4 linked regions of the Stegostoma tigrinum genome follow. The main gene of each other region encodes a partner of the protein of the gene in region 2 in a complex. Links are inferred from orthologs where the notes say so. Each region holds a gene or a part of one and is shown on either strand. Other genes may lie near its edges. The genes, in order: smad3b, nedd4l, amot and smad7.

The links.
Region 1: the proteins of nedd4l (region 2) and smad3b are in contact, whole or in part, in an NMR structure (PDB 2LB2), measured with the Homo sapiens proteins. The link is inferred for Stegostoma tigrinum from reciprocal best matches to the Homo sapiens genes NEDD4L and SMAD3. Residues at the interface, in NP_001138439.1 of Homo sapiens: Glu392, Glu393, Arg394, Lys398, Gly399, Arg400, Tyr402, Val404, Asn405, His406, Arg409, Thr410, Thr411, Trp413; in NP_005893.1 of Homo sapiens: Glu178, Thr179, Pro180, Pro181, Pro182, Gly183, Tyr184, Leu185, Ser186, Glu187, Asp188.
Region 3: the proteins of nedd4l (region 2) and amot are in contact, whole or in part, in a crystal structure (PDB 7LP3), measured with the Homo sapiens proteins. The link is inferred for Stegostoma tigrinum from reciprocal best matches to the Homo sapiens genes NEDD4L and AMOT. Residues at the interface, in NP_001138439.1 of Homo sapiens: Lys202, Asp204, Leu206, Arg208, Tyr210, Val212, Asn213, His214, Arg217, Thr218, Thr219, Gln220, Trp221; in NP_001106962.1 of Homo sapiens: His235, Arg236, Gly237, Pro238, Pro239, Pro240, Glu241, Tyr242, Pro243, Phe244, Met247.
Region 4: the proteins of nedd4l (region 2) and smad7 are in contact, whole or in part, in an NMR structure (PDB 2LTY), measured with the Homo sapiens proteins. The link is inferred for Stegostoma tigrinum from reciprocal best matches to the Homo sapiens genes NEDD4L and SMAD7. Residues at the interface, in NP_001138439.1 of Homo sapiens: Arg394, Asp396, Lys398, Arg400, Tyr402, Val404, Asn405, His406, Arg409, Thr410, Thr411, Thr412, Trp413; in NP_005895.1 of Homo sapiens: Glu203, Glu205, Ser206, Pro207, Pro208, Pro209, Tyr211, Ser212, Arg213, Tyr214, Pro215, Asp217.

Annotation. Positions count from the first base shown.
Region 1 is NC_081386.1:30,933,942-30,941,956, forward strand, and holds the start of smad3b (mothers against decapentaplegic homolog 3b), read right to left. Parts: upstream 3,013-8,015; 5' UTR 2,934-3,012; intron 1-2,933. UniProt on the Homo sapiens protein: Receptor-regulated SMAD (R-SMAD) that is an intracellular signal transducer and transcriptional modulator activated by TGF-beta (transforming growth factor) and activin type 1 receptor kinases.
Region 2 is NC_081354.1:152,024,632-152,032,109, reverse strand, and holds the start of nedd4l (E3 ubiquitin-protein ligase NEDD4-like), read left to right. Parts: upstream 1-4,469; 5' UTR 4,470-4,561; coding exon 4,562-5,101; intron 5,102-7,478. UniProt on the Homo sapiens protein: E3 ubiquitin-protein ligase that mediates the polyubiquitination of lysine and cysteine residues on target proteins and is thereby implicated in the regulation of various signaling pathways including autophagy, innate immunity or DNA repair.
Region 3 is NC_081368.1:25,793,421-25,801,271, forward strand, and holds the start of amot (angiomotin), read right to left. Parts: upstream 3,020-7,851; 5' UTR 2,900-3,019; intron 1-2,899.
Region 4 is NC_081354.1:159,815,595-159,822,515, reverse strand, and holds the start of smad7 (mothers against decapentaplegic homolog 7), read right to left. Parts: upstream 3,014-6,921; 5' UTR 2,399-3,013; coding exon 1,744-2,398; intron 493-1,743; coding exon 439-492; intron 1-438. UniProt on the Homo sapiens protein: Antagonist of signaling by TGF-beta (transforming growth factor) type 1 receptor superfamily members; has been shown to inhibit TGF-beta (Transforming growth factor) and activin signaling by associating with their receptors thus preventing SMAD2 access.

The sequences.
Region 1 (8,015 bases), on a different chromosome or scaffold from region 2:
TTAAATCAGGTCTGGAGGAGATTTACGAAGATGTTGCCTGGATGAGACATTTCAATTTGGTGGAAGGGTTTGAATCATTAGAACGATTTACCTCAGAGCAGAAGTGGTTAAAAGGTGGCTTAACAGCAATTCTTGAGACGCTGATAGATTTCAATAGTGTAAATTATTCCCTCTTTAGTGGGTCTGAAATCAGCAGCTAACGATTGCAAGGACAGAGGTGCAGAACCTGTTGCTATTTAGAGAATTGTCTAAAAAGGTGGCATAAGCTGCTTCTGTAATAACTCCACAAAAGCCGGTATCCCATCACCAAGTCACCCTTTGTTTACAGATGAACAATTCTTGTGACACGCAACCTTTTATTTTCAGCCAGAGCTCCCTGATTGCGCCAGATTAACAGCCCCAATTACAGAACTCATTTCTATGATGTCCAGCTGACTGACCTTGTTACAATATTTCAGCTTCAATGAGTCATTTTGAAAAAGGACTTGTACTTGACGAACATACAGGCTTATAGATAAAGAACAGGAGTGTGGAACTGAGCATGGCTATTTTTTCAAGGGGTCAGCACAGACATGAAGGACCAAATGCCCTCTATTTCTATTGTTCCAAGATCTATTCTATTAGTGGGTGTGATGCTCTCCTATTGATAGTGAGTATGTCAATCATATCAAACGTCTGGTGAAACAACAATGCGTGTTCTTTAGCAGAAGATTTTTTTTCAATGAATTCACAGGTTGAAGACATCGCTGGCTGGCCAGCATTTATTTCTCATCCCTAGTAGCCAGGAGGGCAGTTAAGAGTTAACCACATTGCTGTGGTCTGGAGTCGCGTGGAGGACAGAGCAGCTAAGGATAACAGTATCCTTCACTAAAGGACATTACTGAATCAGATGGAATTTTCCTGACAAAATGTTTCATGGTCATCATTAGGCTCTTAATTCCAGAAATTTTTATGAATTCAATTTCCATCATTGCAGGATTCGAACCTAGATCCCCAGAACATTACCTCATCCCATGGATTAGCAGTTCAGTGATTTAATACCACTAGATTAGATTAGATTAGATTCCCTACAGTGTGGAAACAGGTCCTTTGGCCCAACAAGTCCACACCGCCCCTTGAAGCATCCCACCCAGACCCATCCCCCTATAACCCACACACCCCTGAACACTACGGGCAATTTAGCAATTTAGTCCACCTAATCTGCACATCTTTGGACTGTGGGAGGAAACCGGAGCACCCGGAGGAAACCCACACAGACACGGGGAGAATGTGCAAACTCCTCACAGACAGTCGCCCGAGGCGGGATCGAACCCGGGCCCCTGGCGCTGTGAGGCTGCAGTGCTAACCACTGAGCCACCGAGCTGCCCGAAATGATTCTAATGTTCTAATGATTCAAACCCTTCCACCAAATTGAAATGTCTCATCCAGGCAACATCTTCGTAAATCTCCTCCAGACCTGATCTAAAGCCTTATGAACAGCCTTTGAGATAAAGTCTCTTCCTAATTCAGTGCTAAGCTTGATCAATTAATGACTGAAAGGATAACTAAAAATCAGGAAGTGAATTATCTTGATTTTTTTCGTCTGAATAGCAACAATCGTTTATATATTGAACAAAGAGTCATTGGAGTGCTCTATCACGTTGTGTCAGGACTCACCGTTTTGTCATTTGGCTAATGAATTCTGCCAGGGAGAAGGATGTTTTGGTAGTAATGTTAGTAAATTAGAGAGTAGTTCCATGCTGTAGGGTTATGGGTTCAAGTTCCATTTACAACAGTTGGAATACAATACTGGTCTCAGTGTTGCTGACCATATAACCACCATTGATTTATTATGTAAAGATTAGTTTGGATCCCTTCAGGAAGAAAGCCCTCAGCTGGTCTGGCCTGCTTGTGACTCCAGACCCAGAGCTATGTGGTTGCACTCTGGAAAGGCCTTCCAAACCAATTAGTTCAGGGACAATTCGGAATGGACAGCAAATGCTGGTCCTGATCCATTAAAATAAAAATAACTGCATGTTGTTATTAATCTGGGAATAATTCTAAGAGATTGAGGCATGCTTTAATTTAAGTTTACACAGGGCAGCACCATAGGAATACCCTGATCTATCAGCTTAGATCTTCTATATTTTTAGAACAAGTCAGATGCGAGGATTAGTTTAACATTGATATGATGGACTTTACCTCTTACAGTACAACATTCCCTCAGTACTACCTCAAAGTAGCGGTCTATATTTTAAACAATTATTTAATGAGATGTGGTCTTCCCTGTCAACACTAGTATTTATTGCCCATCCATAATTGCCCTTAAACTGAGTGGCTTGCTAGCCAATTTCAGAGGGCAGTTAAGAGACTGTGGAGTCTGGAGTCACATGTAGGCCAGACCACGTAAGGATGGCAGATTTCCTACCCTAAAAAATGTTAGTGAACATGATTTTTAAAATATATTTAATTGGTACACAATCCCTATCAGACTAGCTTTTAATTGCAGACCCAGATTTCATTCTATTTAACATTATCCTGACATTGGGGATTATTCCAGAAACAGGATCTGTTCTCTACTACCTCCCCTTTTGAGTGTAGATTGTGGATGTACATTTTAAGATGTATTTGAACTCAGAAGGCAGGAACATTATCAACGGAGTCAAGCTGATAAATATGTATTTGGTTTAAGGGACACTTGAAGAGAAAGAAACACCAACCATTTGAGACAGTTAGTCTATGAAATAGAAAAACAAGCTGTAAATCTTTTAAAATAGGCTTCCTGTAAGCAGTAGTTAAATAAACAGTGGGTTAAATGCACACACACACACACACACACACACACAAACGCACAGAGAGGAAAGTTAATGTTTGCTGGCTTTAAAATGATTCTAAATGCCAGGAAATCATCCTACCCTTTAATGGTATTCAATCAAAGAATTCGCATTACTCACCAAAATATACGTCACTTGAGCTAAATGCTGATCTTCTGCTGGTATATTTTAACTGGAGCAGAAGTGGTTGCTTTAAGTTCTCCTCAGCCTGCTTTTCTAAGAGCCGCCTCACCGCAGATAAACGTCACACGATAAACATCCATTCTGATTTGTGTTTTAGTCATCACAGGTCTTTTTTTTTAAAAAGAAGCGTGAGCCTTTCAAGTTTCTCCTTCTGTTTGTGTCAGTGGTATACTGGAGTTTATTTCTGTCTCTCTTGCTTCAGCACAGAATGCTGCTTACAGCAGCTGCCCCAGTATCAGCTCAACTCTCCCTCTGCTTTATGACTAAACAAGCCAAAATTCCAGTAAATTCACACACTATATGCTCTTTTCTCTCTTTCATACACAAAACTTATGTTTGTTGCCTTTCCTTTTACCACATTTCTATAATTCCAGACAGAAATCAAGTATCAAACAAAACTCATTTTTCCAATTTTTAGTTGGTAATTTTCCACAAGATGTATTTTTGATAGTACAGATGGATGTATTTCTAAATCTCAATTAAACCTACGCAATTATTTCACAATGCATGTCAAGAAACATTTTTAAAATCCGTTTTTTAAAAATAGAATGTCACCTACCCTTTATCCTTCCTGACCTGCTCCAGAGACCAGTCCCAGCAATTTCTGTCATTACTTAACCAGTGACATTAACTGTGGCTCTGTAGGAAACATTTCCAGGTGTGAAGCAGAAGGTTTAAGTCCCACACTATGAAGTTCTGTTTGCGGGGGGGAGTTGGTGGGGGAAGATGTCTAAGTGAATCTGACTTGAGTTGGCATTCAAAATCCTGCAGCCTGATTTTGTTGAATTCCTTTGCACTTCTATCAGCAGGTGTCCGTTTTAGCCCACAATCAGCACCAGAAAACTCAGTCAGTTGATCTTTGTAAGATCGTTCGTCTGTGGGATCTTACTGTGTAATATGTAGCTGCCATGATTCCCACAACTGAAGACACATGAGGACTACACTTCAAAGGTAACATCACTTTAAATCTGCTTGGCATTACTCCAAAATTGTGAAAGGTGTTACATAAATGTAAGTCTTTCTTCCTTTTTTCAACACAATCAATCTGCATGTTAAAATTCAAGCCTACTCTTCGTAAACAGGCCAAAAACTAGTTAAAACCTGTCTAAAGCTAGCAGCTGGGAACCAGCTTCATCAGCGCTCAACAGGATATGCATATAACTGGTGATGAACATTTACATCTGACCACAATGTTCTAGAACTGGCTTCTTCTGTCCTTGTGACATTGGCCAACTTCACTTCTACCTCAGAGGTAATAGGAACTGCAGATGCTAGAGAATCCGAGATAACGAGGTGTAGAGCTGGATGAACACAGCAGGCCAAGCAGCATCTTAGGAGCAGGAAGACTGATGTTTCAGGCCTAGACCCTTCATCAGAACTCATCTGCTGCAGAAACACTCAGGCTGAATTCTGTTACATTCATACTTGACTACTCTGATGACCTCCCAAGCACCCTCTGGTCTTCAATGGTAAGATATTCGAACAGAATTAGGCCATTCAGCCTGTTGCTCTGCTCCACCATTTGATCACAAAGGATGCAATTCTAAACCTTACTGTCCTGCCTTCTCCCAGTAACTGTGGATCCCCTTGCCAATCAAGAACCTGTCTATCTCAGTCTTAAATACATTCATTGACTTGGCCTCCACAGCCTTCTGCAGCAATGACTTCCACAGATTCACCACCTTCTGGCTGAAGAACTTTATCTTCATCTCAGATAAAACGGTTTGTCTTCACTCTGAGGCTGTCCCCTTGGGTCATAGTCTCTCCTACTACTGGAAACATTTTCTCCACGTCCACTCTATCCAGGCCTCTCAGTATTCTCTAAGTTTCGATGAGATCCCCCTTATCCTTCTGAACTCCATTGAGTACGGAGTCCTCAACTGCTCGTCATATGACAAGTCCTTTATCCCTCGGATCGTTCTTGCAAACCTCCTCTGGACTCCCTCCATCACCAGCACTTCCTACCCTAGATGTGGGGCCCAAAACTGCTCACAATATCCTAAATACGGTCTGATCAGAGCCTTATACATCCTCAGCAGTAACATTTCTGCTCTTGTATTCGAGCCCTCTTGATATGAATGCTATCATTGCATTTTCCTTCCTAAGTGTCACCTGAACCTATATGTTAACCTTAAGAGACTTAACCTTAGCTAAGACTTCCAAGCTCCTTTGTACTTCAGATTTTGAAGCCTTTGCCCTTTTAGAAAATAGTCTATGCTTCTGTTATTCCCATCTAAGTGCATAAATTCCACACTTTCCCAAAATTATTCCATTTGCCATTTCTTTACTCACTCTCTTTGCGTGTCTCAATCCTTTCGCAGCCTCCTCTCTTCCTGTCCCTGCACCTATCTGTTTTCCACCCCTCATAACCCTGAGTTCAAACAAAACTCTGTTGCTCTGGTCCTCAGCCATACTAATTTTTTTTTCCTTTATTCATTCACGGTATGAAGGTGTTGCTGGTTAGGCAGCATTTATTGTGCCTGCCTAGTTGCCCAGAGGGCAACCACATCGCTGTGGGTCTAGAGTCACGTGTAGGCCAGACCAAGTAAGTGATAATGGGAACTGCAGATGCTGGAGAATCCGAGATAATAAAATGTGAGGCTGGATGAACACAGCAGGCCCAGCAGCATCTCAGGAGCACAAAAGCTGACGTTTCGGGCCTAGACCCTTCATCAGAGTGAAGGGTCTAGATGAAGGGTCTAGGCCCAAAACGTCAGCTTTTGTGCTCCTGAGATGCTGCTGGGCCTGCTGTGTTCATCCAGCCTCACATTTTATTATCTCAGACCAAGTAAGGATGGCAGTTTCCTTCCCTAAGGGCATTAGTGGGCCAGATGGGTTTTTTCCAACAATCAACAATGGATTCACAGTCATCATTAAATTCTTAATTCCAGATGCTTATTGAATTCAAATTGCACCATTTGAACCCCGGTCCCCACAAAAATGTTGCCTGGGCCTCTGGATTGACAGGCCAGTGATAAAACCACTGGGCCATCGCCTCCCCTGGAAGTCCTGGTCATCATCACAAAAGATAGATATATTTTATTCACTTGTGGAAGTGGGCGTCGCTGGCTGGGCTGGCATTTATTTTCCATCCCTAGTTACCCTTGAGAAGGTGGTGGTGAGCTTCCTTCTTGAACAGCTGCATACCATGGTGTTAAGTACACACGTAATTCTGGTTGGGAGGCAATTCCAGGATTTTGATGTAGCAGAGCCATGATCTGGTCAATATCGCATTTCAGTGTGTGAGCCTTTGCTATGAGCAAACTGGCTGCCATGTTTCCGGAAGTACAGCAGTGACTACACCTCAAAAGTAGTACAGTGGCTGAAAAACACACCGAGATACCTGGTGACCTTGAAAAACACTATGTAAATATAATTCCTCTTTCTTTTCTAACCAACATCTCAGCAAAATCTGATCACTATAATATTGTTAATTGTGAGATCTTGCTGTGCTCAAATTGTGTGCTGCATTTTCCACATTTCAATGGTGACTATTCATTTGCAGTACCTCATTAGCTTTAAGGTATTTTTATAATCCATGGGGCTGAGCAAAAATGAGTCTCGTAAAGAAACCTCCACACTAACATTTCAACAGTAGCTCATTGGCTGTGGAACAGTTTACTTGGGATGAAGAAAATATTATTGAAACAGTGTCTTTCTTCCCTCTTCCACCTTCCCTTCAATTATCAAAACAAGCTCATAACCTGAAACTGAACATAATGGATCTCACTCGGTCATTCTAGGACAGAGAAGGATAATTCCAGGCAGTTCCAACTTGTTAGAACAATGAACAGTTGTTGAAAGAGGGGTTAAAATTGTTTCAGAGATAGTAGGAACTGCAGATGCTGGAGAATCTAAGATAACAAGGAGTAGAGCTGGATGAACACCGCAGGCCAAGCAGCATCAGTGGAGCAGGAAGGCTGACGTTTCGGGCCTAGGCCCTTCTTCTGAAGAAGGATCTAGGCCCAAAACATCAGCCTTCCTGCTCCACTGATGCTGCTTGGCCTGCTGTGCTCATCCAGCTCTAGACCTTGTTATCTCAGCAGTCGTTGAAACATTGCTGAAATAAAATACTGTAGGTGTTGGAGTCTGTAATTAAAAGAGAAAATGCTGCAAACATTCAGAGTCTCGGGGAGGGAAGATAATGTTCATGTTTCTGTTTGATGCCGTTTCATCAGGATGGGAAGGAGTTAGAGGTTTTACATATTATTGGCAAGTAGAGAGACAGGGAGAGAGGAATGTTGTGAGGATGGAAGATAAGGATAGAATAAATGACAAAAGGGGTGATGGTGAAAGACAGAAAACAAGTTGGTAGAGGAGCAAAAGTTGGGGCCGGAAGTTAAATTATTAGAGCAGAAACAGGGAACAACACCCACTGTTCGGGGAAACATGAGTGTTGGATTAGATATAAAGTTGCGTATTTGAATTATTAGGCCAAAAGTCTGAAAGGTGCCTTGAAGAGAGCACTGCATTTATGCCGCTCGCCACTCCTCAAGGCTGTACTGTGTCTGCATGTAACTATAGGGGGTCCCCAACTGACAAACATCTGGCTTATGAACATTCACACTGACGAATGCTATTCCATACAGCGGAACAATTTTAAAGACCCAGCATATGAACATTTTCTATACTTACGAATGGCTGCTTTATATGGTCATGCACTGTGTTCTGACTTGTGCACACATCAACTTGCAAACAGACTTACCAACGAAACCTGTTCACAACCCAGGGAGTGCCTATATTTGGAACAGCACCTGGTGATTGCCCAAATTATGTCTTCATATTATTTCAGGATGGTGACAATTCAACATCTAACCACTTCCCTCCCTCTCCTTATTTTCAAAACAAACGCTGAAAAAATAGCTGTTTTAATATCAAGGGCAGAACAGCCCTGATTGTGGCTGTAGTGGCCATTCTGATGCTGAACAGTCACTTTCAAATCAGAATGTGACATTTGGACATCTAAACTAATCTAGCTGGATAACTGGCAGGATCAGACTGCTCAGTAGACATTGCATG
Region 2 (7,478 bases):
GGGATAGGATTTATAATCATCTAGAAAAGAATAAATTGATTAGGGTTAGTCAGCACGGTTTTGTGAAGGGAAGGTCGTGCCTCACAAACCTTATTGAGTTCTTTGAGAAGGTGACCAAACAGGTAGATGAGAGTAAACCGATTGTGGTGTATATGGATTTCAGCAAGGCGTTCGATAAGGTTCCCCACAGTAGGCTATTGTACAAAATGCGGAAGAATGGGATTGTGGGAGATATAGCAATTTGGATTGGAACTTGGCTTGCTGAAAGAAGACAGAGGGTGGTAGTTGATGGGAAATGTTCATCCTGGAGAGCAGTTACTAGTGGTGTACCGCAAGGGTCGGTGTTGGGTCCACTGCTGTTTGTCATTTTTATAAATCACCTGGATGAGGGCGTAGAAGGATGGGTTAGTAAATTTGCAGACGACACTAAGGTCGGTGGAGTTGTGGATAGTGACGAAGGATGCTGTCGGTTGCAGACAGACATAGATAAGCTGCAGAACTGGCCTGAGAGGTGGCAAATGGAGTTTAATGCAGACAAGTGTGAGGTGATGCACTTTGGTAGGAGTAACCAGAAGGCAAAGTACAGGGCGAATGGTAAGATTCTTAGTGTAGTTGAGCACAGAGATCTTGGTGTTCATGTACACAGATCGTTGAAAGTTGCCACCCTGGTTGACAGGGCTGTTAAGAAGGCATACAGTGTTTTAGCTTTTATTAATAGAGGGATCGAGTTCCAGAACCACGAGGTTATGGTGAAACTGTACAAAACTCTGGTGCGGCCGCACTTGGAGCATTGTGTACAGTTTTGGTCACCGCATTATAAGAAGGATGTGGAAGCTTTGGAAAGGGTGCAGAGGAGATTTACTAGGATGTTGCCCTGGTATGGTGGGAAGGTCTTACAAGGAAAGGCTGAGGGACTTGAGGCTGTTTTCATTAGAGAGAAGAAGGTTGAGAGGTGACTTAATAGAAACATATAAAATAATCAGCGGGTTAGATAGGATGGATAGACAGAGGCTTTTTCCTAGGATGGTGACGGCGAGCACGAGGGGGCATAGCTTTAAATTGAGGGGTGAAAGATATAGGACAGATGTCAGAGGTAGTTTCTTTGCTCAGAGAGTAGTCAGGGAATGGAACGCTTTGCCTGCAACGGTAGTAGATTCTCCAACTTTAGGTATATTTATGTTGTCATTGGATAAACATATGGACGTACATGGAATAGTGTAGGTTAGCTGGGCTTGAGATCAGTATGACAGGTCAGCACAACATCGAGGGCCGAAGGGCCTGTACTGTGCTGTCATGTTCTACGTTCTATGTTAACAATTCCTGTCCCTGCTGTATCCGTGGGTCAGTTTTTGTCCAGTGTGTGCAGGAGAGCTTCCTGACACAGTATGTAGATAGGCCAACAAGGGGCGAAGCCACGTTAGATTTGGTACTGGGTAATGAGCCTGGCCAGGTGTTATTGTATGCCAACTCTCCCTTTCCTGTGAAAACTGTTAACCATGCATTCGCATTATCAGCTTCCTGTCTCCTCTGCAACTTTGGTATTGTTTGTGTCTGTTACACCATGTCAAAATAACCTACACCAAAATTGTGAATGACATCTTCCATGATTTTGGATTTATAGCACCAACATTCTGCATCATATCTGTTTCATGTGGCGTTTGCTGTGCAATATTCCTCTAATATTTCGTCTTAGTTTCCAAATGTGTGTGTTCTTAGTGTAGCTGTTATATTATGACATAGTTCAGTTCTTGGATAAAGTTGCACATTTCCACTTTGAGTTTTCTAAAGTTCAATCCTTGGACCTCTTCTGCTTCTAAGCTTAAAAAGTTGCTTACCCTTGTGTCATTTGTGGCTCTGGCTTCTCTATTATTAAGGTCTGGATTCACCAAGTCACACTTGATTACTTGAACATGATTACGTGGTACTCTAATCCTTCACTGAGGGATGCCTACACATTTGATCATGCTGTTTGTTCCTTCAGATAATAAAACGTGTGACACTACTTGGAAGAAAGGCAGTTATCCTTTTTGTCCACATCACTATGTATTCTTCAGTCAACATAACTTAAAAACGGGTTATCTGTTCATTATCACATTCCTGTTTACACTATCTTGCTGTATATATAATAGCCCACGTTTCCTACATAACTGAAATTCAGAAAAGTGCTTGATTAACTGTAAAGAGCTTTAAACTATCTGGTGATCCTGAAAGGAACCAAATAAATGTACGTTCTTTTCTTCACAATGACATTTTCAGGCATGTGATCAAAACTTAGACTGGACAATTGACTTCATATCTGTCAATTCTGTTCATATTTCAATGACTTATTTAGATCTTGAATGAGTCACACTTTCTATGACCTGAATAGTAGGAATGCCCATGCCGTTGTTTTTGGCATTTGAAGTAAGCTTTGGTGACTTGTCTCTGATTTCATCATTGTTATTGGCCAGAACTCGGAATTGAAAAGAAATCTGCAACTTCAGCATTGTTGTCCACATCCTCAGTATTACTTCTCTCTAAGTTGCTGCGTTACCAAAGCCCTCAAAATATTTTCTACCTCTGCGCATGATTATTTTGACATTTGATTGCCTGAAATGCCATCGTCTATTAACTACAAATTCCTTGTTGTCTCAAGTGCAATAATCTGCGTCCATGTTTGCACAGAGTCCAAATCTCCTATCATCTTATCATCCATATTTTCCAACATTATCTCCTGTCCTGATGCATTTTGTTTATAATTTTGTCCTTGCCTGCAGTGCCGCTCCATTTCTGTATGTGTTAGCTATACAACCTCTAACAGCCATACAGTGCATATTTCAGTGTATCTGTTTCAGCCTCCAATGTGGCTAAATCCCTCAATCTTTGTTTGGTGGCAGGGCTGTCTGTTTCCGCAGGTCATTTCTCAAAGCCATTTCCCCATGTCATTTCTGCACTGTTTTATTTTTCTACCTGCCTTTAAAAGAAATCTAACCCATTCCAACCTGGCTTTCCATCGTCATCTTTCCCCATGTTGAAACAACTGGCAACAGCTTCCTCCTCCTTGGATAGTTTAGACAACTAAAGTTGTTGGTGTGTGAGAAAATATATCTTTGCATAAAGTTGGTCATGCATAAGACAGCCAATTTTAAAAAATCTTCTATTAGTATTGCAGTACTGTATTACCTTCTGCCAGTTTTCCAACAGATATGAGTTATAGTTAACAGTATATCTGTCTTAATTGGCTATTATACTGAACTTTAAATAAAACTGTATTTCTTGAGCTTTCCCCTGACTGAAAATAGATCTTTCATGGCTGTGTTTAAAGCAGCTGTATGTTTTTGCTCACAGAGCAGCTATAAAATTGGATTTAGTGTAATCATTAAATTTGTTTTGGTCTTAGCTTATGGAAGTAGGGTTTTAGAAACCAGCTCTCGTATTTAGACAAGTTACATCAATATTTCACAGATTCTGTAAGCTCTCCAGAGCTTTTGTAATTGCCTTTATATTCTGTCTTTCAAAATATTCTGCTGTCGTGTGATGAGATTTATTGTGGTAAATGGAGGCTGCTTTGGTCAGCTGCATGTGCTTTCCCGCTGGGGTTGCTCCCTTTGATGGAAAAGGAGCAGCTGTGAAGGCACTGTTTCAGACACTTGCTGCCTTTGGGAAAAAAATTTCTGCTGTGCATTGGAAGGGGAGTTGCATCATGTGACTGCTACCACCCTACCCCATGTTATACTGTGTAGTACTACTGATTGCCTTTATCCAATCATGCCTGGAATGCTGCCTGTCACTTGGGCTATTTCTGCTATCTGTCGCTGTCAAGCTTCAGTGCTAACCGTTTGGCAGATGGGACAGTTTTTTCTCGAGCTTACCTCTTTGCTTTCTTTAAATATGCTTTTGGCAGTGTGATTTCCTCTTCTCGTATTTTAAACTGGGCTGTTGGTGTTAAACTATGGCCCATCGACTGCGCCTTTACTTTGGATCAAATAGGAGTCACACTGATCCAGAATCGGAGATGTTAGATGAAGAGAGAGAAAATGACATCTATATGACATTCCACACTTTGCCAAGGAGGAATGCCCCTCATCCTTTCCAGGATATGCCTAGGCCTGTGTCCGATGCTGTGCTGCCTTTACAGGATCAAACCTCCTTGAGTCGCAGCTCTTCCATGTTCATTCCTCAGTTGCACAGTTCTGAGTCACGACCCACCAGGAGTTCCTCGATGCAGATATCGTTGCAGCGCAACCCTATGAATGGATATGGTGATACCAGTGTCTCGGAGTCTCTGGAACAGCCGTTACCAGACTTTGGAATGGAAGTTGGCAACAATGATGGCTTATTTTCTAGGAGCCATTCTCTTCCAAGTGTCCCTCGAAACACAGATGATCCCCCATCCTATAATATGGCTGCATCACAACAGGTTATTGGAAATGTTCCATCTAATTGTACAATAAGCTCTCTTTTTCCTGTGGAACAAAAGCCATGCAGTATTGGTCAAGATGAATTAACAAATGGGTCTCCCTCTGATCTAAAGGTTGGAGATGTACCTGTTCAACACTGCTCGCCAACAGAAATAGATCAAATGCAGTTTTCATCTTTCACTCGTAATGGACGTCCAAAAGCTCATGCCTCTGTAACTAGGCGTTGGTCTTTACAACATCAGCCGTACATGGCGGGGAACATGGGGAAATCTTGTTTTGTCTTCCAGCTCCAGCAACAGTGCAAAGGTGTCCAGGACTCCTGGATGGATTTCAAAAGGGGACGAGCATGCACAAAGGATGAGCAAGCAGCTAGGCATCCACATGTACGACTGGGGCGAAGTGCCTCTGCCACCTTTCCAGTTAAGGGAAATGCTGAGTGTTTTGGTGCTGCTGAGAGAAGGAAGCAACTCGCAGGAACACTAACTGGGGAAAACAATTCAGACATGCTTTGCGGCACTTATGGCACTTTGCCGCAAACACAGTCCTGTAAGTTTAAAATCAGACAGGAGCGAAATCAGAGGCAACCACACTTTCGAATTCTTTTAACCCGAGGATCTGAAGAGCAGAATGAAGGCTCAATAAGGGATAATGGTGGTTGTGTTCAGACAAGAATGAATTCAATCACCGGAGAGGACTCTGTGGTATGTAACCAGTTCAAAAGTGTATCTGTCACTTAGACTGTGTGTGGGGGTGCTATTTTGAGGCTAAAAGTGGGTTGGGTGAGGGGTTGGATTTATGGTGTGGGACCTAAATACAATTGGTTTCAGAGGTGAGACTGCATAAAATGAAGTTCTGACAATGCTATAACTTAAAGATGAATGGTTTCTGGTTTATTTTCTTAAATTGTGGTTTGTCTGTCTGAGGAGTGAATCTGCAGGAGTTGTCTTAATATGTTTCCAAACAAGATGTGTATAGACAAGTAAGCTATGTCACCAGTTTAGAAAGCAGGCTTGAAATCACACAAGTTGGTGTTTAATGCCTTTGTGTGCTCTTTTGAAATATGGCGTAGAAACAGGTTTCCTCCCTCAAGTATAAATCTGCACCACACAACAAATTTGTTTGTGTTTTTCAGTTTGGTAGAAGAAACTGAAAGAAGCATTTTTGTTATGAACTGTTTAAATAGTTTGCAGCTGGAAGTTGGCTGAATGTAAAGCACCAAGCATATTCTCTCTTTTCCCATCGTTTGTGTTTACTGTGTCTGATGGAAGACATGACTTATGGTCTGTCTTAGCAGGTGTCATACTTTTACTTGAGACGAATAAGAGAATTAATTTTACTGTCTACTGGCTCTGGCCCAGAGACAATTTGGGGCTGCAGATGTTCCTTCCGCTATTCCTGTAAAAGAAAAAATGAAACGAAAATATTATTTGAGCGATGTTTTTCCCTTTGCAAGTTCATAAAAAGCAAAGTTGAACAGGGTGTATATCAGGCATGCAATTCAATCCCCCAGTTCACACTCAGTGAATTCAGTTAAACTTAAGTTTTGTAGTGCTCAGTGGCAAGCACTTAGAAAAAATGGAAACAATATGAACTAAAGCAAAAAAGTCAAGGAAGAGAGATTTTGTGTCCAGAGGACGCTCATAGTCCTAACTCAATTAAATTGAATTAATAGTCATTACATAATCTTAATTCTGTGAATGTTTGATCTTTTAAAAATAGTATTTTGTACTTCTACTTCTGTCTAGTCACATGTATTACGGGCACAGTCCGTTTGTGCTGTTGTGTAACCCTCCTTTCTTAACTGGAAGCTAATGTGTTGGATCAGCTTGAGATTCTGTTAGGAGCCATCTAAATCCAGCAGAGGAAACATTGCCAGAGGAAACACTTCTGCATGGCCAATCAACAACATGCCTTCCAGATCCTGGAGTCTCCAACGTTGCGCATAAGCTAATAAAAACTTACAGCTCCTATTGGAACAGTGGAGTTATGTGTGAAACATGACTGCCTCTCCATAAGCAGCAGAACTGCTGCTGATCCAGAACAAAGGAGAGATGAACATAGTTTCAAGGCTTAAAAAGAGTAGCACTACATTGTGTATTCTTTGAAGTGCAAATTGAAACGTATTTCATACAGAGTATACTCCCCAGCCGTGCCAGCCCGCTGCCAAAACGTTTCATCTTCAAAATGCTCCAGAACGGCCTTTCTTAGCTTGTCAAATATGTGATGGAAGCAAGTATTTAATTCACAGTCAAAAATTTGTGAACAAGTACAATGTACACTTTAAAGAATATTTAAAAGCTGAATTACAGAGTGATTGAGTCACAGAGATATACAGCATGGAAATAGACCCTTTGGGCCAACTCAACCATACTGACCAGATATACTAAATCTAGTCCCAATTGCCTGCATTTGGCCTATATCCCTCTAAACCTTTCCCGCACGTGTACCCATCCAGATACCTTTTAATTGTTGTAATTGTACCAGCCTCCACCACTTCCACTGGCAGCTCATTCTATATATGCAACACTATCTGTGTAAAAAAAAAGTTGCCTCTTAGGCCCCTTTTATATCTTTCTCCTCTCACCTTCAACCTATGCCCTCTAATTTTGGTCTCCCCCACTCTGGAGAAAAGTCCTTGCCTATTTACTCTATCCATGCCTATCATTTTATAAATCTTTGAGATTTCCCCCTCAGCCTCCGACACTCTCAAGAAAATAGCCCCAGCCTACTCAGCCTCCTCCTATAGCTCAAACTTTCCAACCCTTTCAATGTCCTCGTAAAACTTTTCTGAACTCTTTCTAGTTTCACAACATCCTTCCTTTAGGAGGGGGACCAGAAGTGAATGCAGTGCTCCAAAAGTGGCTGAACTAATGTCCTGTACAGCCACAACATGACCTCCCAACTCTGTACTCAGTGCACTATCAACCTGTGACCTATAAGTAACATGCAACTCATCCACTTGGCAAAAAAAACAGCCAAAGCAGTGCAGTTGCTAGAAATCAGAAACTGAAACAGAAATTGCTGTTGAAACACATCTGGCCACATCTGTGGAGAGAAATATTTCAAGCCCAGTGACCC
Region 3 (7,851 bases), on a different chromosome or scaffold from region 2:
CTCAACTAAGTCACCTCTCAACCTTCTTCTCTCTAATGAAAACAGCCTCAAGTCCCTCAGCCTTTCCTCATAAGACCTTCCCTCCATACCAGGCAACATCCTAGTAAATCTCCTCTGCACCATTTCCAAAGCTTCCACATCCTTCTTATAATGCGGTGACCAGAACTGCACGCAATACTCCAAGTGCGGCCACACCAGGGTTTTGTACAGCTTCACCGTAACCTCTTGGTTCCGGAACTCGATCCCTCTATTAATAAAAGTTAAAACATTGTATGCCTTCTCAACAGCCCTGTCAACCTGGGTGGCAATTTTCAAGGATCTTTGTACACGGACACCAAGATCTCTCTGCACATCTACACTGCTAAGAATCTTACCATTTGCCCTGTACTTTGCCTTCCGGTTACTCCTACCGAAGTGCATCACCTCACACTTGTCTGCATTAAACTCCATTTGCCACCTCTCAGCCCAGCTCTGCAGCTTATCTATGTCTCTCTGCAACCTACAGCATCCTTCGTCACTATCCACAACTCCACCGACCTTAGTGTCATCTGCAAATTTACTAACCCATCCTTCTACGCCCTCATCCAGGTCATTTATAAAAATGACAAACAGCAGTGGACCCAACACTGACCCTTGCGGTACACCACTAATAACTGGACTCCAGGATGAACATTTCCCATCAACTACCACCCTCTGTCTTCTTTCAACAAGCCAATTTCCGACCCGGTGTGGATGTGTTGGACCAAAGGGCCTGTTTCCACACTGTTGGGAAACTAAGAATACTCGAGCTGTGGACTTGAACTGAAGCCTTATTTGCAGAGTTAAAGAGCAAAATAATATCATCAGCACTACATTACTTGAACTCAAATGCCTCAGAAACTGGGCAGATGAGAGAACCGTTAGCTCTCCATTGCAGGTGTAAGCCTGGTCATCAGGTGTGACATCCTCTCAATGTTGTTGTACGTGGCACAGATCTGGCCTATTCCCCAAGCCTGCATCGCTGCAGTGACCTAAGCCGCCATATACCTCATTTGGAGGTCTAAGATTGATCGAGTCCAAAGGGACACCGTGTATTAAATGTGTTGGGGTTGGGGGCGGGTTAAGAATGAATGCCACCCTCATCCTGATGGCCACCTTTCTGTGTGTCTATATCAAGCTGCGCTTAGACCCTCAGTACGCAGATATTTTGTGTCACTACGTTCTGAGATTTTACCTGTCCATAGTGTCACGAAGGATGGGTCAGGCCTCGTCACCACAGCACACTCCAAGTAGTTGGACCATCCCATATGACCTGTCCCTCATGGATAAATTTGTGAAAGAAAACACCTTTGACCACAAGTCCACCAGGAAGTGGTCAGCACATAGAATCCTCAAGACACTTCAGGAAAAGGAGATAGTTGATCTTGTCGGGTAGTTCCTTGAGCAGACTGTCAAAGCCTTTTGGAAGAATTCCTCATTGCCAGAACTTTTCAACAAGCATCAAGACAACAGCTTGGCTGGTGGAGAGAAGGGCACTAGCTGCAAGATCTTTCATGCACGGACAAATCCTCTCAAAGCGGTTCCAAGAGGATTGAGGCTATCTCCCATCTCCTTCTGGAATGTGGCTATGCAGAGGAAGTCTGGAGAGAGATGCAGAGGTTTTTGACGAGGCTAGTCCCAAGCAGCTCCATGACGCAGGACTCTGTACAGGATGTACACCAAGACAAACATCGACCATGCCTGGAAGACCATCAACTCAGTGAAAGACACCCTGTGATCTGCCCAAAATTTGCTGGTCTTCCAGTGCAAACTGTTAACCCTGACCGAGTGTTGCAGCCGCATATTCCAAGGTCCAGGACTATGTGCTGAAGGATGCACTAAAGCTTGGGACAGCTGCCACCAAGGTGCAGTAGGGAATGACCACCACAGTTTCTGCCAAAATACAACAGGGGCCCGTTGAGTTATTGGACACTCCTGATGCCTCAAATACATGTCAGTAGTTCCAACTACTTTCCATAATTAAGAAATGCCTTTGGATTAGTTGTACCTAATATGAAAAATCAAACTCCGATGTTTATTTTCTTCTCCATACGCAAAAACTTTAGTGATCAGAACTACTTCTGTAACTGTGTATGTACATAAAGATTTATTTTTCTTAGTGAATAAAGTACATCTTTGCAAAAGAAAACCCTACAATGTTAAATGCTGCTAATCCTATTTGTTCCATGATGTGGACTGGGGTGGACAAGGTCAGAAGCCACACGACACCAGGTTGGAGTCCAACAATATGCATCGGGGCTTAGATTAAGATATTGTAGCATTCTTCCATACACATAGACAGGCTTACAAATTAGATGAACATCTAGTTTACAAAGAACCGTGTAGTTTTTGTTGCACCATGCTCATTTGAAAGTCAAAACCTGGGTAAGAATTTGAATTTTGCTTGTGTTGTTCTTGGTGGCCGCGGTGGGGCAAACTCAAGAAAAACAGGGGAGACAGTAGAATGGGAGATGGTGCTGAATTCAACACAGCCCGCTGTGCTTTAAAATGAGCTGAAGCTCACTCAGGATGGTGAATGGCAAAGATCAGTGTTTTAGCATCAGACTGGGCGAAGCAGGAGCGGAGATTTACAACGTTAGACGTGAAGTAGTGAAACAAAGGTTCATTTTACATGTTACTTCACCATTTAATTTGGAAATTAGAGAAGAGGCATGTAATCGTATAATACGTTTGCAACACAGATACGCTGTCATCATTTATATTGCGAGTTAATAATTTTCTCTCCACATGCAATTTAATTGAAGCCTGTTCTTTGTTAGGTGTCCGGCCAACAGAGGAGTAATTCCCTGCCAAACGTTAGCTATATTTCTAAATAGTTTTACGAAGCAATTCACCCTTTCTCGAAAAATAAATGACTTACTGTTGAAATATTCTGCAAACCTTTCCGTGCTCCCCCCTCTTTCACCACCATTTCCAAACTCAACGTGACGAGGGAGGGGAAAATAAAAAAAACCTTTCTCCAGCGTCTTTCACCTGCCGGCCCCGCTCGTTGTTTCTACGCTTGCGCTTGGTGGAAAATAAAACCAAGGTGCAGCTTGGGAAGTGTAGTCGTTTGGTTCCCATGGATTAACCCGTTTCCCTGCCAGGATCAGCTCGCCTGGACTTCAACTTCCAATGGGCTTCGCACGACGCCTGCAGAGGCACTTCGGCTGGCTACGCGGCGCGAGAGAGGCGGGGGTGCCCCCGATGCAAACAGGTGACATTGTGGAGTATGTTTCACCTACCTTTAAAAATGAACTGAGAATCAAATAACGTCCTTGTTTCACGCGTTAAATAAACGCATATGAATTTAAAACCCATTCGAAAAAAGCAAAACAATGTTCATTGCTCAAGATCCGAAACAAAAAGAGTGTGGGGTTGGGGGTCTGGCAGCATCTGTGGAGGGAGAAACAGAGTTAATCCTTGGACTCCAATGTGAACTTCGTTCAGAAGTCGTTTTGGACTATAATTATCTCCGTACATGCTGAGTTTTTCCAGCACATGTTTTATTTCGGCTTGATCCAAATAAAATCATAATTCAACAACACAATCCACCTGTAAATCGTTTAGATTTGTTCAAACAAGTTGAAGAAACAAGTTTTTTTTAAATTCCTAAAGTGTCACCTCTGAAGTCAATTTTTCTCGTCCATGCTTGGTCGCTCTCGTAGTTGCTACTGGGAGCTTAAGTATATAACTGTATTCTGTGTAATGAAGATAATCCTTCTATATAATTAGACAGTGCATTCCAGGATTTTGACTTAAAAATGAAGGAACATTTGAGGGTGAGGCGGAACTAGAGGAGAATTGTTTCACCTGCTTCCCTGGCCTCTCCCAGTTGTAAAGCAGGTGGTTTAGGAAGTCTTGCCATAACATTTCAGATGAATGATTGGTGTGCATACTGTGGGTAATACACAACATAGTCAATGACGTAGAAGATTGATATTTAAGTTAGAGGATGATGCTCTGATCAAATAGACTAGCCTGTGCTTAGCAGTGAATTACTAGAATATTAATACAGATACACTACACCGTGCTTAGCAGTAAATTACTAGAATATTAATACAGATACACTACACCCCAAATAGGGAACCTGATTTGTGCACTGCAAATGGTTGAGAATGATGTGAGCTATTCACTGCAAAATACACGGCTTCAAGATGCTTATGTGGCTGGTCTGGTTAAGGTTTTGGACAATGATGGCCTGGAGGATGTTGATTCAGTCAGAGCAATGCTGTTGAATAAAACCTTAAATATCAAAGAGAGATAATTGCACAATTTGCTGTTGGAATTAGTCAATACCTGCATTGGTGGGGTATGTTTTGCCAACAGCAGGGTATCCTTACCTGATACAGTAATAGTTGTGTCATCCTTCACAACATAAGAAACTAGTACACAGAAAATGTGGCATTGAAAGATCCAGTGGACATTCATTATAACTCTTTGGTTACAATGAGCAGCATGCTTCCATCAGAGTCTCATACTTTAAGTAGTCCAAGTTAAGACAATAGACAATAGGTGCTAGAGTAGGCCATTCAGCCCTTTCAGCCAGCACCACCATTCATTATCATCATGGCTGATCATCCACAATCAGTATCCTGTTCCTGCCTCATCCCTCCTGCCTTTGATTCCACTATCTTTAAGAGGTCTATCCATCTCTTTCTTGAAAGTATCCAGAGAGTTGGCCTCCACTGCCTTCTGGGGCAGAGCATTCCATATATCCACCACTCTCTGGGTGAAGAAGTTTTTCCTCAGCTCTGTTCTAAATGGCCTACCCCTTATTTTTAAACTGTGCCCTCTGGTTCTGATAGAGTCCAAGAAGTTTACACCCTCAGTTCACATACTATGAGACAGTGATGAATCAAGATCGTTTCCCTTATCAGGTATGCTGACATGCTACCCGTGAACCTAATGCAACATCTTTTTCAAAGATAAAAAGTGATCTCAAAAAGAAATACAAGGTTGTACATAAACAGGTTTGTCAATTAGGTAATTACATGAACAGGTATAAACAGAGTTTACAAAATTAACAATTCAGAGTTCAATATAAAGCTTTGGAGGTTTGACAACTTGCGCCGATCTGGTGATCGTATACCCATGTGGAGAGGTACATGTTTTATTTGTACTCTGTTTTATTTGGTTGTAATTTTCCTGGTTACTGTTACTCAATATTGCTGCACAATCATCATCATCATCACAGTATTCTTCCTCATTCTCATCATACACGATTGGTGTGTTGTACATTGTTCGAGCTGGCACATATTCTTTCTCAAAGTAGCACCACGAGCCGTAATGACTTCACATGATCTGGGCCAGTTGCACGATTGAAACTATTGCTATATTCAAGTATATGTATTTCTAAGTCATTCTCTGTCCACTGTGTAATTGTGGTATTTCTCTACTTGTTCACTCATCATTTATCTCTTTCATTCTCCTCTGTCTTTGAAGAAAAATATTGTTGTCATGGAATGATTAGACAATTGGGTACTTGGCAAAGTTACATGGTACTTGCCTTCCAAGCATATGCTGTGGTGGGGTTGGTGATGGCTTCGCCATTGATGCTGTATGAAGATGCACCAACAAAATGTGAAAAACTTGTTTCCATACTTGATCATTGATTTGGCAGGAAGTACTACACACACTGCTGGACCATTTAAATGTGAGGTGATTACGTGATGTGGTCATTCCCCACTTCATACATGCCAGTGAACTGCAGCCCATTGTCAGATGCTATCCATTCTGGAACACTGAATAAATAAAAGTAAGTCATTATATCAGCAACTGTTACATTTAGCATGTTGCTAAGTCATCAAAGAATGGAATATTTACATAAGTAATCTGTCATCATGAGGGTACAACCTTCCCCATGCACTGTGAACACGCCTGTGGTTTACAGACCTGGGGTAGTTCCTACCCTCCTCAATGGCACTTCAAGGCACTGGAGCAATACCACCAACACTGCTTGCAAAAGATCCTGCAAATCTGCTGGAAAGAATCAGCATTCTCAAACAGGCCAACATCTTGACACTGACCACCCTTGATCAGCTATGATGTGCTGGATATCAACATGAGCAACAAGAGACAAACAGGTGCTCTATTCCCAACTTCAAGAATGGCAGGCGAACCCCAGGTGGACAAAGGAAATGCTTCAGTGATACCCTCAAGGCCTCACTGGTGAAGTGCAGCATTCCCACAGACACCTAGGAAATACTGGCCCAAGAACATCTAAAGTAGAAGAGCATCTGGGAAGATGTCAAGCACCTGGAGACTTGCTGTCAGGTAAAAATGGAAGTCAGGCAAAAACAGTGAAAGGAGCGCACTACCACACCAATGCCCCACCCACTCCTTCCCATGAACACCACCTGCCCTAAGCATAAGGGAACCTACAGTAGCTGCATTGGTCCATTTAGTCACCTACAGACTCAACCAAGAGTGGAAGAGAGTCATCCTCATCTGCGATAGACTGCCAATGATGAATACATCTGTAAACTGACAATTAGCAATAGAGTGTTTTCAATATGGCAATGTTCCAACCAGAGTGTATTTGCCAGCCACTCAGAACTCTCCTCTTATGCAGTATAAATATTAATTTGTACATGAATCTGCATTCTTGCAAAATGTCCTGATAAGTGGAAGAAAACTTCAGCAAAACATCTTTTTTCAGCAATGTTCAAATTCAAATTACCAAACAACTATTTGTACTACGTACTTGTCTAATTGATCATTTAGGACAGATTATTCTTGCAGAATATGCCAAGTGCAAAACTAGGCTAAACGTTTGTACATTTTTCTCTTCTGACAGAACAGTGAACTGGCTGCTCGTTTTTGGTGGATGATGATCAATTTAGCAGATCACTTCAAGCTACAGCTATATCTGTTTCTGGGGCACAGGTAACCTCACAACATTGATTAGAAAAAGAACGGACTCGAACTACTTTTAACCATTAAAGGTGGGCCTGGAGAGAATTTTTCCAATTATTTTCCCCTTCAATTAGCAGTGGTTTGTTTTTGGTTCTGAAAAGAGTTTTTTCTACTTCTCCCAAGAAATCATATAGCTTCAGTGGGGTTGAGGTGTACATGTGTTGTGCTGCATTAACCATTATACTTAAATGGATCTCATCTTTTGTTGCCCATCAATTCTCATTTTTGTAAATAAAGCAAGCTGGGTTCAGGTGTTTGTGGAAATTAATCATATAATCAGGATTTTGTTGTCCTTCTTACCCAATTGAGCCATGGAATTTTTATAGCACAGAAAGAGGTCTTCTGGCCCATCAAGTCCAAGCCAGTCATCAAGCATCTAATTTTAATCCCAATTTACAACACTTGGCCCACAGTCTTACATGCTATAATATTTCAAGTGCTCAGAACACCCTTGCAGTGAGTTCTAGGCATCCACCAAACATTGGGTGTTAAATATTCTTCCAGTCTCTGAACATCCTACTACTCAGCTTAAATCTGTATCCCCAATTTTTCATCCCTCTAAGCTTCTCCCCATCTATACCCCTCAAAACTTTGTGGACTTCAATCAAGTCCTCCAAGTGCCTTGTCTGTTCCAAAGAAAAAAAAACTCTAGCCTACCTAGTCTTTCATTATAGCTGAAACACTCCAACCCCTTTAGTGTAATTACATCCTTCCAATAATGTGAATTCCAGAACTGCACAAAGTGCTCCAACAGTGCCCTAAGATACTATTTGTACCCAGTATCTTATGGTGGAAGTAAGAGCACAGAAGTTGATCAATAAAGGCAAATATCCCACATGCTTTCTTAACCACCTTATCTACCAGGTCCACAGCACAGGAAAAGAACATTTGGCCCAATCGAGTCTGTGCCAGTCA
Region 4 (6,921 bases), about 7.8 Mb from region 2:
GCAATTTGTGTGGAAACTAAACACGTTATGTCTTGTCATGAGTTATACATGGAGGTGTATTTATTACTCTAATTATACCATGTGAAAATTCTTACATTCACCAAAAGCTGAAAAGCCAGCCTAAATTTCCCCTACAGGCTCAACTTTCTAGCCATGCCCCACATCAGTTCTGAATCATGCTCCTTTCCTGATGGAAGCTGCTATCAACTTTCCTGTCTTCAAGGTTTGACTCATTGGAAATACCTTTCAAAACGTAAAAATCAAATATTTTAGAGCTCACATAAAAAAACACAACTTTTCCCCTCTACACAGGTAGTAAAATGCTTTAAGCAGATGGGGGGGCAGGGTGGAAAGTTTTAAGGAAATTGTTTTCAGTTTACATAGAAAAACAATTGGATTACAATTCGAAAAATAACACGAAAACACCACTGTACTTACCAGGCTGCTTGAATGAGTCCATTGGAAATCTAGAATAGGGAGGCGGGGGTGACTCTGAAAACATTAAAAGAGAGAAAAAAAGTCAAAGCCATGAGAAAAGAGATAGAAACTGATGATAACGCTGGCAGGAGAGCCGGCATTCTTTCGCAAACTATTTGTCTTAGCTCTGGGGGCTGGAGGCAACGCAGCAAAGTCAGCGATTGCCTTGATAGTTAACAGTCACATAAACAAAAGAGTCAGCCTGGCGCCAGTCTCACTGATATGCAACTTGTGTGTCTAATCGCCCCTCCTTGGCTCACGTAAACCACTTCTGCTCTGGAAATTACACTGAATCAGTCTGGCTGAGGATCTGACCGCGCCATCTAACTGGAAAATCACCCATTTACCGCGGCGACAAGCCTTCTAGACAAACTTTTTTCTTCTTTCCCCAAAAGAACTTTTAGTTACTTGATTGATACATCTGACAGGCTTTATAGGGTGTTTGAAATAACTTTACTCCTGCTCCCTTTTAACAGGGATGTGAATTTAAACGACAAACTTTTGAGGTTCAGACAATTCCCAGAAACATTTCGATGGAATGACTTTTTTAAAATCTGTAATTTCTCGCCCCCCCACCCTCGTTCTCGATCTAACTCAAGTTTCAATTCAGATCATAATCTTGAATGAAAATCTATGCAAATATAGAGAAGTAATTATTATTAGGCAACACTTGAATTGACGGCATAATTACATAGTTGAGTAGGGAGAATATTGTTCAGTAATGTTTGGATTGATAGGCAGTTTCAAACCAGCGCATGTTCTTTATTAGTAACGCTGACTCTGAATAAGTATGGAATAAAATTCAGTTGTAAACTAGACCGTTTATAGTTAATACTAATCCGGGATCAAACTCGAATTTTAGCAGAGAATGTTGCGACATAACCACAGCTTTACTCTCAAAAAGAATTCATTCATGAAATAGCATGATGAAACTTCTAGATCAAATCTACTATGGTGAGTCTTTTTTTAAATGTAAGATTCACGGAGTTCTTGTGTGAAAAAAGGGACACCTTTAAGGATGTGAATAAAGCGAGGGCCGGTTAAATTTGCAGAAGGACTTCAGGCAGGGTCTCTGGATGTTTAACAGTATCCGCCACTTTATTGTAAATCCTAGTGGGACTTTTATAACAAATGGAGGCGCCGAGGTGGCCCAAGTAGACTGCAACAGTCAGAAGTCACAAAATTCGGGTTTTCCAAATTTAAAAAAGTACTTTCAGTTACTGCCCGTTCAAAAAGAAGCATTCAGATCATTGAGAAAGACCTTACCGAGTTCACAGAGTCTGCTAAGGTGGTGCGGGTTACAACAGATGGAATCCGGGCTATTCGTTCCGTACGATTGACAGCAATAAAGTCTTTTCAGTTCGGAGGAGTTCCTCAGGTCAGCCCAGCGGAAGACTTTGCAGATCAGTACCGGCAAGGAGTAAGTTTGTTTGCTTAGTTTGGGCTCAATCATCTTGGGCAAAAGGAGGCATCCTGTGCGGGCTCCCCCTTTACTCTCCACAGATTGCAGTAATAATTCCAACTGTTTCTCTTTCAGTTTCCTCAACAGCGAGTGCGTGAGGGCTTTTAACTCGGGGTCCGAGGTGCTCGCTTTCGATGCTTTAGCCCCGCAGCATCCCCCGGCTCCGCTGCCGCTGCTACTACCTCCGTCACCTCCACCTCCCCCGCCTCCTCTTCCCCCTCCTCGGCTTGCATCGCCCTCTTTATCCGTCTGGCCGTCTGCTTCTCCCAATGCACGGCTTCGCCAAAGTCGCCGCACCAGACCCGATCGTTTCGTCCTGAACATACGAGACGACGATCCGCCAGAGAGAAATTCGCTAAAACCCAGCCAGGTACAGAAAAAACATATCCGCAAAACATGAATCCAGCCTGTTCTTAATGGCAACAACACAGTAACAGCAGCCGCACAAATCTGTAGCATACGCCAGCCCCTTATCTTTAGGCAGGTTAAAAAATAAAAGATCCGGTTAAATTGGTTTTAACAATACTGCAATTAAATACGGGGGGATGGGTCACAGATACAATCATGCATTGTAACCCACCGGCATAAAGTAGGGAAAATGTAGTCAAGAATATGCATCCATTAAAATGTAACCCAAGCGTTCGCTTCTTGTTCCTTCCCTGGCTTTTTTGGGGCCACAGTTTAATCCAAGCCCGTAATCCGGCGATTCTGATGATTGTCGAGATAGCTCTCTTCCTTCGTTTTCCCTTCTTCCTTTCAACGATTATAGATACACATGCAGTGTCTCTAATCCGTTCCAGTCTCCTCTTTCTTTCTCTTTGCTTTGACTTGTACGTGCGCCTGCTTGTCTCTGTCTCTCTCTCTTTCCCAGTTGCCTTTCACTAACTTAATACCTCTCTCCAACAATATTCTTTTTTTAAAAAAAATGCGGCGATTTATCAGGGAGGTGGGGGGGTGAGGAAAAAGAAAATAAAAAAAACCAAGAGAAAGTTGTCTCCGTTTGCAGCTCTGCTGGTGGATTTCCTGAGTGCTCCGGACTCCGGGCTGAAACTGACACAAGGCTTGAAATTTACAAGCTCTTGCTTTGGCTGCGCATTGGCGCGGTCGGTCACGTGTGTGTCTAGACACTTTGTCGCGGCCCCCGGTTTAAAGTGATTGTTACGCAAACAAGCGATCACATTACGAACAGCCCCTTTTACTGAGAAGCCAGTCGCCCCCAACCCCCAAAACACGTACAACAAACTGCAGGCAACATTCAGCCACTTCATCACGGCAACAATGCACACTACCCATTTTCTTTTTGTTTTGTGTTTTTATTTGGGGGGGGGGGGTGGCGGGGTAGTGAGCGTTGCTGTGTGATGGGAGAGGAAAATCAGTCCGGGAAATTCTGGGAACTGCAACTTGCTCCATCCAGATTCTCGTCTGAACATTCCTGACATTCGTTTTTCTCTCAGCTTTGCGTCCCCTGTCAAAGCACCACAGAAACAGGTAAACAGGCCCTTCGAGCAAGACTGCCTTGTGGAGGTTATTGCAGGGTGATATTGATGCACAGAGAGACAGAGAGGTGGGATAGCTGTGTGTCGAATTTCTAGGGCTGTCTTGAAGGTTTGAAACTAATAATCTTACTGCAATTCCATAGATCAACGAGAATAATTTCCACTTTTTAGGGCTGCAAAATAAGTCTCATGTTCGCCAATTGACATCTAAGTTCCCTGGATTGTAGGAAAGGCAAATGAACTATTATGGGCTTTTATTTCAAAGAGAATGGAGGTCCTGTTAAAATAAACAAGGTACTAGTCAGACCACAGCTGGAATACTATGAACAGTTCTGGTCCTTTATCTAAGAAAGATAAACTGGCATAGGAGGTAGTGCAGAGAAGGTTCTCTAGGTAGAATCGGGTATGGGGGGATTTTGACTTGAGAAATTGCGTAGGTTGGGCTTGTATTCTTTAAATCTTTGAAGAATGAGAAGAGACCTTTTCAAACCATCTAAGATTCTTAGGGAGCTTGACAGGGTTGATGTGGAGAAGTCCTTCCAGGGACAGTCCAGAACCAGAGGACATAATCTCAGAGGACATAAATGTCATCTATTTAAAACCAAAATGATGACTTTTGTTTCTTCTCAGTTGGTGGTTCCCTGGAATTCTTTATTGCACAGGGCAGTCAAAGACGGGCCATTGATATGCAAACCTGAGACAGATTTTTAATCAGTAAGGGATTCAAGAGTTATGAGAAAAAGGCAGGAGAATGGAGTTGAGAATTATCAGATTAGCATTAAATGGTAGAGCAGTCTCAATGGGTTGAATGACCTACTTCTGCTGTAGATTTTAAAGTGGTATTCTTATGAGGGGATTCAAAATATTTCAATTAATTGGTTGATCTTCATATAGAAGCCAACAACAATTTGAATTTGTGTTACACCATTTAGCTTCCCTTCTCCCAAAGGGAGGAGTTACTGTGCATTCAAGACTGTATGCCAGCTAAGCAGAGTAGGGGCATTAGTTGTGGGCTACTTAGCTGTTCGATGATATTCAGCTGTTCAGTGTTATCATAGTCATGAGACCAAGTCTACCCCATTTCCATTAATCCCTTTGGTCAATAAATCCCCATCATTTTTAGATTTAACATTAATTATTGACCTAGCATCAATTATCATTTGTGTAAGAGAGTTCCACAAACTTTGAATATCCTTTATGTGGAAACCAGTTTCATAAATTCACTCCTCAAACTCTTTCTAATTTCTGGACTCCCACCAGCAGGAATAGTTTTTTCTGCATTATCCTGTCTATTTCTGTAACATATTGGAAGTTTCAGTGAAGACTTAAATCTTCAACACTGCAGGAAATGCAACCCTAATGACAAACACAGAGAATGCTGGAGAAATTCGGCAGGCCCAGGAGCATCTGGGCAGAAAGAAACTGAGTTCATGTTTTGAATCCGCTATGATTGTTCTTCAGAAATACAACTCCAGTTTATTTAATTTCTCCCTGTAGCTGAACTGTTGGAGACCAAGCAATATTCCAATAAACCTAGATGGCAATCCTTCCAAGGCCAATAGAGTCAAAGAACATGGAATAGCATGTACAGGGTGGAAACAGACCCTTCAGTCCAACTCATTCATAACGATCAGATATCCTAAATTAATCTGGTCCCTGTTCCCAACATTTTGCCCATCTGAGCCCTTCCTATTCATGCACCCATCCAGATGCCTTTTAAATTGTGTAATTATACCAGATCCTTGCTAAGGCTTAGTGTCCAAACTGATGCTGTTCCACACTATTTGTATTGTTGAAGAATGACTCTAAGCACCCCATATTCAAAGCACCCGGGTTTAAAGGCCAGCATTCCTTCAGCCTTTTTCATACCTGCCCATGATACTTTAATGATTTGTGGATAAAACAAAGAACTGAGGATGCTGGAGATATGAAACATGCAGAAATAGAAATTGCTGGAGAAACTCAGCGAGGCTGTAAACAGTTCTGAAGTAGGACCTCTGGACTGGATTCATTAACTCTGTTTCTCTTTCCACAGATGCTGCCAGATCTGCTGAGTTTCTCCAGCAATGTTTGTTTTCGTGTGTTAATAATCAGTGTAGCTGGACCCTCAAGTCTCTCAAAAGCTTTATTGTTTCCAGTCTTTTGATCTCTTTTTAGGTCAATATCAGATTACTTCACATTTTTCTACTTACGTGTTCTTGTACTATCTACAAGAAGCATGGCACAAAGTCACCAAAGATTCTTTGACAGTATCTTCCAAGCCCAGAACCACTTCCATCGAAAAGGACAAAGGCAGCAGATACATGGGAACACCACCACCTATAAGTTCGCCTCCAAGCCACTAACCATCCTGACTTGGAAATATATCATTGTTCATTCACTATCGATGAGTCAAAATCCTGAGTTCCCACCCGAAGAGCATTGTGGGTCTACCTACATCACATGGACTGCAGTGGTTCAAAAAAGCAACTCACCACTACCTTCTCAAGGGCAACTAGGGATGGACAAGAAATCCTGGCCAAGAAAGCAACACTCAGGTCCCACAAGTGATTTAAAAAAAAGTGTTGAGTTCAGCATCAAGTGACAGTTTGCTGGTGATCATGGAGGTTAGATACCTGAAGCTATTAACAACCTTCACTTTCACAGTGTCAGTGTTGATGGATGAAAAACTATCCTGGACCATGCCATTTGTCTCACAAAAACAGAAGTTGCTGGAAAAGCTCAGCAGGTCCGGCAGCATCTGTGAAGAAAAAAATCAGAGTTAACGCTTTGGATCTGGTGACCCTTCCTCAGGACTGAGGAAGTTCTGAAGAAGGGTCCCGACCCGAAACATCAACCTTCCTGCTCCTCTGATGCTGCCTGGCGTGCTGTGTTCCTCCTGCTCCACACTGAATAGCTTTGGGTCATTTTTTGTACCTTTAACATGGAAATCACCCAATGTTCTTAACAGGGATGTCATCAAAGAAAATTTAACACCAAGCCACGTAAGGAAATATTAACAAGGAGGAAAGAAGCAGCTTTAAGGAGCATCTTAAAGGAGAGGAGAGATAAGAAGACGGAGCTTAGACCCTAAAGAGCTGACATCACAGCTGTAAAGAAAATTAGGATATGAACAAGGTCAGAATTAGAGGAGGAAGACTCGGAGAAATAGAGATACTTAGCATGATCCTGGTCTAAATTATAAGACTTTAAATGAAAACAAGAAGAAGATTATGGGCTAATTTAGATCATTGTGTCCCGGTATAAATGTCTTTCACAATGCTGCATGCATTGTAACCATCTTGCTAAGAGCCGGACAAGCTATGAATCGTAACCCTCTACAATCTGTGTGGTGGCAGAGAGACCCAGGGGTTCATGAAAATCTAAAGGAGACTTGCGCAGTGTCACAGTGAGCAAACTGGTAGCACATAGTTAGGCTGACTGAATACAAAACTAACAATATTATTCTCTACCTTATGCAAATCCTTTGTGTGGCCACATTTAGAA